Linked DNA regions of Drosophila melanogaster. The protein of the gene in region 2 interacts with the protein of the main gene of each other region in a pairwise test. Each region holds a gene or a part of one and is shown on either strand. Other genes may lie near its edges. The genes, in order: CG14598 and CG6497.

Region 1 (4,901 bases), on a different chromosome or scaffold from region 2:
TGGGGTAATATGTTTTATGCGGCATTCAAATCAACTTTGCGGTCCATGTTACTTCGGCTTTAAGGAATACCATTGGAAGTTTGGAGCTCGATTGCGATGGCATATCTTCCGTCCATAAACATTGTTTATGTCACGCATTGACACTCGTCGTCCTTCTCGATGGAGCAACAGAATTTTTCGATTTATATGCATATACAAAGACAATTGAATGTGCGTGGGTGCCCAAAGGACTCCGCTCCTGCAGACGTTGTTCCGCACTGGGTGCTCGAAACTTCCGTGATGGCGGACCCGCCCCTCACGTAAATATAAATAAATACATACAAATAAATAACAGAAAGGATATGGAAGCCCCGAATGGAGTGGGTCATGGAACACAATCGAGAACAATAACAATGCCGCATAAAAATGGAGTCACGCCAATCGTCTGGTTAAGTGAAAACACTTGAACAATTCAGCCGGACCCAGTTGGGGCCGAATAAATAATTCGCTTTTGATGAATTTAAGGCACGTGAATTCCCAATAAAATAGCGACTCAATAATTAATGTAAAAATGTACAGTGCTGTTAAAAATACCTCACTGATATTTTACTTAAATCGTAAGAATTCTTGCATTTCAAGTCTTACAATTGTATCTAACAAAAAGGTTAGACTTAGTTCTAATGTCTATCACTTTAAAAAATTCAAAAACAAGGTTTTTCTAAATTTTAACAATGTATCTATGTTTTGCAAAACTATTCGTTAATTTGTCACATAAAAGTTATTTATTTCGAGTAAACATTAGCAAATATATTTTATATTATATTTATTATAATAAATATGTTCACCAAAACCAAATGCAAATCAAAAGCACGTCTTCACAGCTGTTAAATCGAGTTGGGCATCTTAAAAACTGATTAGTGAATCACCTTAAGTAAAACCATTTAACTTTATATCCGAAAAATCTGATTAATTACGACTTTAATTCCTGGTGATCCAAAAAACGTTTGGCAAAGAGCACTACAATGTTTGATGAAGCGATAAACATCTTTTAAAAATGAATCCACTTAGGCCAAATACCTCTGGCAGCACAAAGTTTAAACTATTTGCTAACGCTTATCAGAAATACCACACGAATCTTAACACTGGACTGCTGGGCAATTAATCTCGTGGAACACAGCGATCCAAAACCAAACCGAACCGAACAAAACAAAACCAAAACCGAGAAATCCGGTTGCCTCTAATGCGGCTCATAATTTATGAGCCTTCGCACGCACACAAAAAGTCTCGACGTTAGGAATCAACGCTCACATAATTTGCATAAATTGGAGATGTATCAACCGAAATTGAGGTAATAAAGCCAACAGCCGACGGAGGGCCCTATCAAATTCTGGGCTTTGATGACGGAGATGCTGATCTGCTATCGGGCCACTTGTAATTGGCACTAATTTGCTTTCACTCCATTAAAGAATCCCCCCACGATTTAAATGCAAATGAGGGCGTACCACTCGGTAGCGAAATAACAGGTTTCCTCTGCGAATACTGTTCAAATCAATTAAGGAATGGAAATAAAATCAATCTTCAAGCACGGGCATACACCCCCTTGGATGAGGAAGTGACGCTAGCTTTTATCACAATTTATGCAAACCGCTGACAAAAATGCTAATAATTACATTCTCTCCCCCCAAAATCAAGTTAAGAGCTCTCAGATGTGTGACAACCAGATATACAGAACATGAGATACGATATCATGTATCTACAAGATGCGACCGTGAACCCGAAAGAGTTCACAGCTTAATCAGCTGTTTCGGCATCTTATGCTGCGCTGCTGCATTCTGCCGAATTCTAGATTGAAAAAATCCGAAGAAGAAGCCACTTAATTGGCCAAGAGCAAGCTTCGCTCTCGCGCTCGTCTGCCATCCCAAGAAAAATAAAAATAAATTAAAACCCCCGGTTTTAATCCGGTTGTTAAACTTTACACTGAGCAACAAGATCGTGTAACTTCTGGGCCGTTTCAATTTCAAAATGGATCGCTTTGACCGACTATAAATATGCTGCGCATGCTCAGCGGCGCTTTTAGTTCGTTCAAAAATTTCAAAGTGTTCGGTACGGGACACAAGTTTTCCGCCTTAAATAAACAAATAGGATTCCTAGCAAATATGTCACTGAAATACGTAAGTGGACAACTCGTGTGCATAATTGTGAATATAAAATTGTTGCTAATGTTGTTACTGTTCTAAGCTGGTCTTTCCTGAAATAGACTCTAAAAAATGCAACAAATTGTTCTAATTAGCCATCTGCGTAAGCATCATTAGCGGAATTCCAGTTTAATGCATAAATTAAATTATGAAATTGGTCCTGAAATGAAATTAACATAATTAAATAATTTTGTACCAACAAATTTAAATTTTTTTATATCACTCATTAAATTTATGATAAAAGAGATAAAAGGAGACTGACATTTTTTTAGACGCAACAGTTTATTGTCTGAGGTGTGAACTTGCAAGTCATAACTACAAGTTACCATATACTTTCTTTCTTTTCAAACTAAAAATTTGCATAGATCTCAAGCTCGATTAGTATCTTTATCGTCGCTATGTTAATCACAAGTGGAGAGGGTCTAATGACCTTTCCCACTAGGGAAAGAAAAATGTGATTTAGAATCTAAATGCGAATAGAACTGACTATAAACTAATCCAGTTTTGGCATGTGCCTAACAATGCAAGGCTTTTGCACACTCCAAGGTCAAGTCAAATCAGATTTTAATAATCTTGAAGCTCCCACACTTTTAGAGCTATACTAACAAAGTGTTTGAAATTGGAATACATTGGAATGGTTGTGACCATATTAAACAATAGAGCCATAACTTTAATACGCACCCGTAATTGGCAGACAAATACATATCATTAAGCTGACCAGTCTCTTTTCGAAAACATTGGGTTCAACTTAGCAACAAATACTTACGATAAAAACTGCACCTTTTAGCAGGGCCTTTAGGAAACTAACTTTCAAAATAAAAAATGTTTAAATAAATATCTTTATTAATTTTGTTAGCCCAACGCAGTAGTGTTCACCTATGCGCCGAATGCATATAAAGATTACTATTAGTAGTTACTAAAAACTATAATTAACTTGTTATTACCTGTACCGTTTCATTGCAGTTACTCATTGCTTGTGCAGTGCTGATCGGATTGTGTGGAGCTGATGTGTCAGAAATAAAGGCGGTTAAAGTGGATCTGCCTTTCAATGACTTGCTACCACCGCTGCTGGATGAAGTGAGCACCACGACGACAACGACGACGACAACGACAACCACAACGACGACCACAACGGAGAAGCCAGCCACAACGCTGGCCACAAAGCCAACCAAGAAATCGTACTACCAGAAGCCAGCTCAGCTGGCAAAGGAGGATAAGTTGAAGACCATTGTCATCAAGCAGGATGTTTCACAGCTCCCTTTGGATCTACTGCCACCTTTCGAAGACGAGGTCAAGCCGGCGGAGGACAAGCTGCGGCCAGTGGTTAATACTACGCCAAAACCCGTGGTTAGGATCTCTCAGCCGTCTGTGCTCAAGGTCACTCCAAAGGCTGTTCCCAAGGTCACCCCGCCGCCTGCTCCACGTCCGCAGTACTCTGTTCAACCAGCCCTAGCATCCCGCCCACAATACTCCGTTCATCCTGCTCCTCAAGCGATACACCCTCAGCCCACCCGTGCTTCTGGTTTCGGAAGTGGATTCCAGTCCCGTTTCTCAAACTACTTCCTCACCAGTACCCCTCGACCCAGACGCGGTCCCCTGCCCACTATCACCCCTTTTCCACGCTTCGTCAGACTGTAGGAATCCATTTAATTAGATTAGATAAGCACCATTCAAAGGCCGACTTAAAATATAAAATAAATTAGATACGACACAACTGAGATAATGAGTGGAAACTATGCGGTATTATTTAAAAGCGACTGTTGAAGCATGAATTCACAACAAAGTATTCGAAGATTTCAAATGTTGATGGATTAAATAATTTATGAATGCACAAAAGTGACCATTTCGAATCATAGAGGCAACGCCATCTGTTGCTACTTCGTTATGTGAGGTTATCTGTTTTAAATTAACACCTTTGTCAAGGGAAAAGTGGAAGAAGCGCAAAATTAATTCCTAAAATAATATTTATCGTAAAGGAAATTCATACACCCTTCTTAGCGACCAATGGATAGCGTTTTACCTTTTCCAGAGCTTCATCGGCATGTTTTTAATTGTAGTACATATATTTAAAATAAACTGCTAATGCAATGTAAAAAAAAAAAACCAAAACTAATTTCCGAAATATTTCTATTAACTCTCGGTCTGTATGATAAGATTTTTCTTTTTGAAGATACAATAATTAAAAGTTGCCAAAAAAAATGATGACAGTGATATATTATGCTAGTTGACTCCAATGCGCGCAATCAACCAAATTTACTTATCAAACTTCTTAAACACCTTTCCCTTCCCCAAAAGCAAACACATTCAAGTATCTACCGCAAAAGCGGAATTCGGATTCATTAACAGCATTTAATTAATTGCTTGGCGCCGTCGGAACAGAAACTGACACTGAAAGCCGCTGTCAGCTGCCAAATAGCTACAAACGGTTTAGCCCCCGGCTAGCACACAAATACATTCATATACATAACACGGCACCCGGCACACAAATCCAAGCCCAAAACCAGGCTCAAACCGAACTCAGCTCCAAATTTCAAGCGTAAACCCAAACCCATCGCTTGACATTTGCTCAACATGCTAAATGCTAATTACTTGGCGTTGATGATGTCGCCGACATTCGGGCTGTCAGAAATTCGTAACACTCACATGGGCATTTGAATGTGGTCCAGAGCACGGAGAGAATAACTATTACTATGTATAAACAAATAAGTCTTGGCTAGTATATAGAAT
Region 2 (4,178 bases):
CCATTCGCGCATTAGCTGCCAAAAGTGAAGTTAAAAGTGCGTGTTTTTTCCGCTTTTCATTATCAAGGCTTTTGTTGTCTACTTTTTGGCGCGCAGCGAAGCATGCGCTGCTTTGAAGTCATTGGCAAGGATATGAGTTGTATTTTGTGAGCAACAGCAGCAGCTGCGGAAATCGAGTTGAAGCAAATGAAAGGATGTGAATTTTAAATGGTTAACTGCGAGACTTGAATGGCACGACAACAATCTGTACAATAACGTATTACAATCAAAAAGATAATTAACAATTTCGTTTACAAATTAATAGGTCTCGACGCTTTTTTTAACTGACATAAAAATTCGAACATTTAGATCTTGTAGATTAGTTGTAAAGTATGTAACACTATAAAGTCAGAATCACTGACAATGTCCGCTTGACTGTCCGTTTGACTGTCCGTATGAACGACGAGATATCGGGTACTATTAGATCAAGAACTACAACTACTTAAGATACTGTTAAACAGATTAACAATTTATGCATCTTTATTTCAGATTGTTGTCATGCCCGCACGTACGACCACAAACCAAAAAAGTCAATTATATAATTTTGTTGAGTGTTTGAATTTATGAATTTAATTTATTATTGCCCAATTTTATTGATGCTAATTTGACGCTCCTCCTAAAAGGTTCTTCCCCTCTTTTTCTAGATTAAATCACTAATGACTGCGGACTCTAGTCCACTTCATGCCATCCGAAAATGTAATTTAGTTAGATATCATCCCATAAGAAAATTTATTTATATTTCCTAGTCGCCCTTGTTGCTTTTCGTACCCACGATGCATTCCAAGAATCCTTTATCCCCTGCAACGCTTTTCTTTCACTGCTATCCCACTTTCAGTTAAATTTACACAACCTTTTAGCTAATTTTAAAGAAAAGTCGACACACAAAGGCCTGAAGGACACAGAAATCGGGCAAAACAAAAAGACGCTTTGCAAAATATTTTGCCGTAGACAACATTAGATATTGTTTTGAGCTGTGCAGACATGGGCTGGCATTTTAGTTTAGTCTCTGTTCCTCGTTGGAGTTTTGTTTCTAGTTCTGGTCTGGTTCTGCAACTGCTTCTGCTTCTGTTTCTGCTGCTGTTTCTGCTGCTGTTTCTTTTGCCATTATTGTTATTGGGGGTTGGGGACGGCTGACAGTCTCCGACTGGCCTGTTATTGTTGGCCCGGCGCACAATGCGGCCATAAAAAGCTGCCAAGCCAAACAATTGAAACAATAAAACGGCTTTAAGAAGGGGCCCTCGGAGCTGCGGCTCTGGCAGAGTAGATAAAGGCAATTAGTGTTGGACTGCAGTTTACTCAAAGTTTCAATCGGAACCGCCGAGTCGTCTAGCTGGTTGGGAACAGGATCTCCTCCAGCTTGGCGTTGAACAGAGACTTGACCGTCTCGTCGGTGGTGTCGATGATCAGCTTGTAGTAGCCCGATCGCCGAAGCAGTCGTTCTTCGTCATCAGCCACCCCGTAGATGTCCTCGATGGGCATCAGGATCTCGCTCTCATTCGGCAGGATTAGCTTGCGTGCATCCTTGCGGAACACGGCCACCGCCTTTACCATGTTCGTGTGTGCCCTCACATAGTGCTGGAAGGTGAGGCTCTTACGCTTCGCTGAGATCTTCGACTGTATGCGATCGAGACGGGCTATCAGGCGGAGCAGTATGAACCGGGCATAGCGATCCTTGATCTCCAGCAAGGACATCTCACTGCCATTGTCGAGGGCTGGGCGCAGATAGACGCTCAGGATGATGAATACGAAAATGGCGTTGATCGCGAAGATCAAGAGCAGTATAGCCAGCTGGATGCAGTCGATGTCCTGCGAGAAGACCTCCGCCAAACGCTTCCAGTACATGAGGTCGTAGTGGTGCACGCTCCATTGGTAGTGCAAGTAGGCTGTTACTGCCACGCCCAGTCCGCTGTAGAGCGCTATGTACGGGTAGTTCGCGTGGAAGAAGTCATTAAACTGCACTCGTAGCTTCTGCCACAGCTCCATTATGTCCTGTGTCCTTTGGTTCCTTCTTTTTTCGGTGTATGGTTCCTGGCTGGTAGGGGATGAGTCCGACTGGGTTTGAATTTTCGTTTCGGTTAATTTTGGTACTTATGTTCCGAAAGGTTGATCCATACAATTAGTCTACTTAGTTCGGAGTAATGCAAAATGAAAGACGATTTTAACAAGCCTCTTATGTGGCATTTGTCTGTGATTATACTTGATTAGGTTAAGTTCTTAATATTTTGTAATTTTTTTAATAAATATAAAACAAACTCACGCATTGAATTGGCCATATGAACATTTATAATCTCTATATCTCTCGTTCTCTGATTATCTCTTTATTTCTATTCAAAAATGAAACTATTAATTCTGCAGTATTATTATGGTCTTTAAATTGCTCTGATTTGAATGAGCTATTGAATTGGATTGAAATTGAGTTTTACTCAAAAGTATAAGAGTTTTTTTTTAGCCCGTTCACCCTGCAACCAAATGTTGTGGATGCCAAACAAGTTGCGAGCTCGACGAGGCTGGGTCGAACTTGTTTGGCCTGAAGGGATTGAGCTTTATTGGTGTTGTCTGTAAAGGTTTGAGCAGTTTTGAACAGCACTCATGTGGTAAAGGTCTGTTCCCCTGAAACATGCAACCAATTTCAGTGGCCACAACTCGCATGGAACCGCCCACGACTGCAACTCGAACTGTCTTAAAGTCTTTGGGTTGCATTGTATTCTTCATTTTTTTTTGCGTGTGCTGCAGGCAACTAAAATACGTAAAATACGTCCAGGTCCTGTTGGGCGACAACATTTCGCTATCTGGACTAAGTTTTGCCAGTAACCCGCTTGCGCCCCTCCGCTTTTCCTATCAACCCTAACCGATTTGAGACGTTGATAAGGCAAGCGAAAAAAGCATAGCATACTTCTGAGCGCAATGCAATTTTCCGTTTTCATGTTCTTGGCTCTACTTTTTCGACGTTTTATGCTGCTCTTTCCCTTTTTTCGGGTTCGTCCTTTTGTGCTCTGCACTTATTATTGTCTCTTTTCGGTTGACTTTTTGCGCCGAGGCCAAAGTGCATGCAAAACTGCATTTTGTAGACAAGCCGAAAACCGAAAACTGCCAGCCAAAACGGAAATATTCAAAAATGGTTGGCGGAGTGGGCGGTAGTGGGCGGTAGAGTTCAGTGGGTGGGGACGGCCTATCTGCCAACTCTCGGCCTCTTCCTCCTCCTTCCTCCGCGTAAGTGTGTCTGTGTCTGTGTATGTGTGTGTGTGCGCGCTAATAAAAACGTAAAATTTAATGGTTACGGAAGGCACTAAAAAACAGGCTCACCGACAGCACCCAAGTAGTTGTTGCTGCTTCTGCTAGGTTCGCACTTGCAAAAATCGAGTGCTTTCTTATTAAAACAATTAATATTTGACAGTGAGATATTTTCATAGCTTTCACCTTTTATACAAATTATAGGCACATAATGCACTCTTTCAACTACATTTCATAAGTAAAACTCAAATTAAAGGCACGAAAAGAAAACATTAAATTTGGTGTGCCTTATAAATTGTGTTATTATATATTTCATTAATTTTTGTTAATTAATTAATTATGTTAATTTTTTTTTATTAAAAGAAATGAGGTATATTTAGAATATATTTTTATTTACTTCATAGTTGCCTTAGGTAGATACAAGCTGATTGGAAATTGTCTCTTTCAAGACCATAACTTAGGGTCTCAAGACCGAAAAAAACATTCTACTTTGCTTCAATACGCATCAATCAACGGAAGCTCTATCCGATTTTTCCGAGTGCATCTGCAGTTGCCGCTGCACTCGTAGTGGTGCAGGCAGTGGTCTTCGGCTGTGTGAGTAGTGGCACTGGCGATAACCAAGCAACGAACCACAACCGCACCAAGGAGCGCGGGGAAAACCATTCGATGGGCAAAACTGTAACTACGCCAACCGCCGCCGTCCTTGCCACCCCCTTTGCCAGCCACCATTTCGCCCGCCGCCGACGCAGTGGAGCGCCCATCCGTGCACGTCAAACGCAGACAACTTGAAAAATGTAGAGACAGCGCCGCAGTATAGTTGAAACACGCCAAAAAATATGCAAAAGTAAAATAAAACAGGCACGGCAGACACAGCGACAGACAAACGCATTTGGGCCCGTCGAAAAGCA

The links.
Region 1: the proteins of CG6497 (region 2) and CG14598 interact in a two-hybrid assay, tested with the Drosophila melanogaster proteins (one large-scale study listed by BioGRID).

The regions. Positions count from the first base shown.
Region 1 is NT_033777.3:7,437,712-7,442,612, forward strand, and holds CG14598 (uncharacterized protein), read left to right. Parts: upstream 1-2,048; 5' UTR 2,049-2,135; coding exon 2,136-2,150; intron 2,151-3,137; coding exon 3,138-3,812; 3' UTR 3,813-4,265; downstream 4,266-4,901.
Region 2 is NT_037436.4:17,251,802-17,255,979, forward strand, and holds CG6497 (uncharacterized protein), read right to left. Parts: upstream 2,137-4,178; 5' UTR 2,023-2,136; coding exon 1,366-2,022; 3' UTR 576-1,365; downstream 1-575.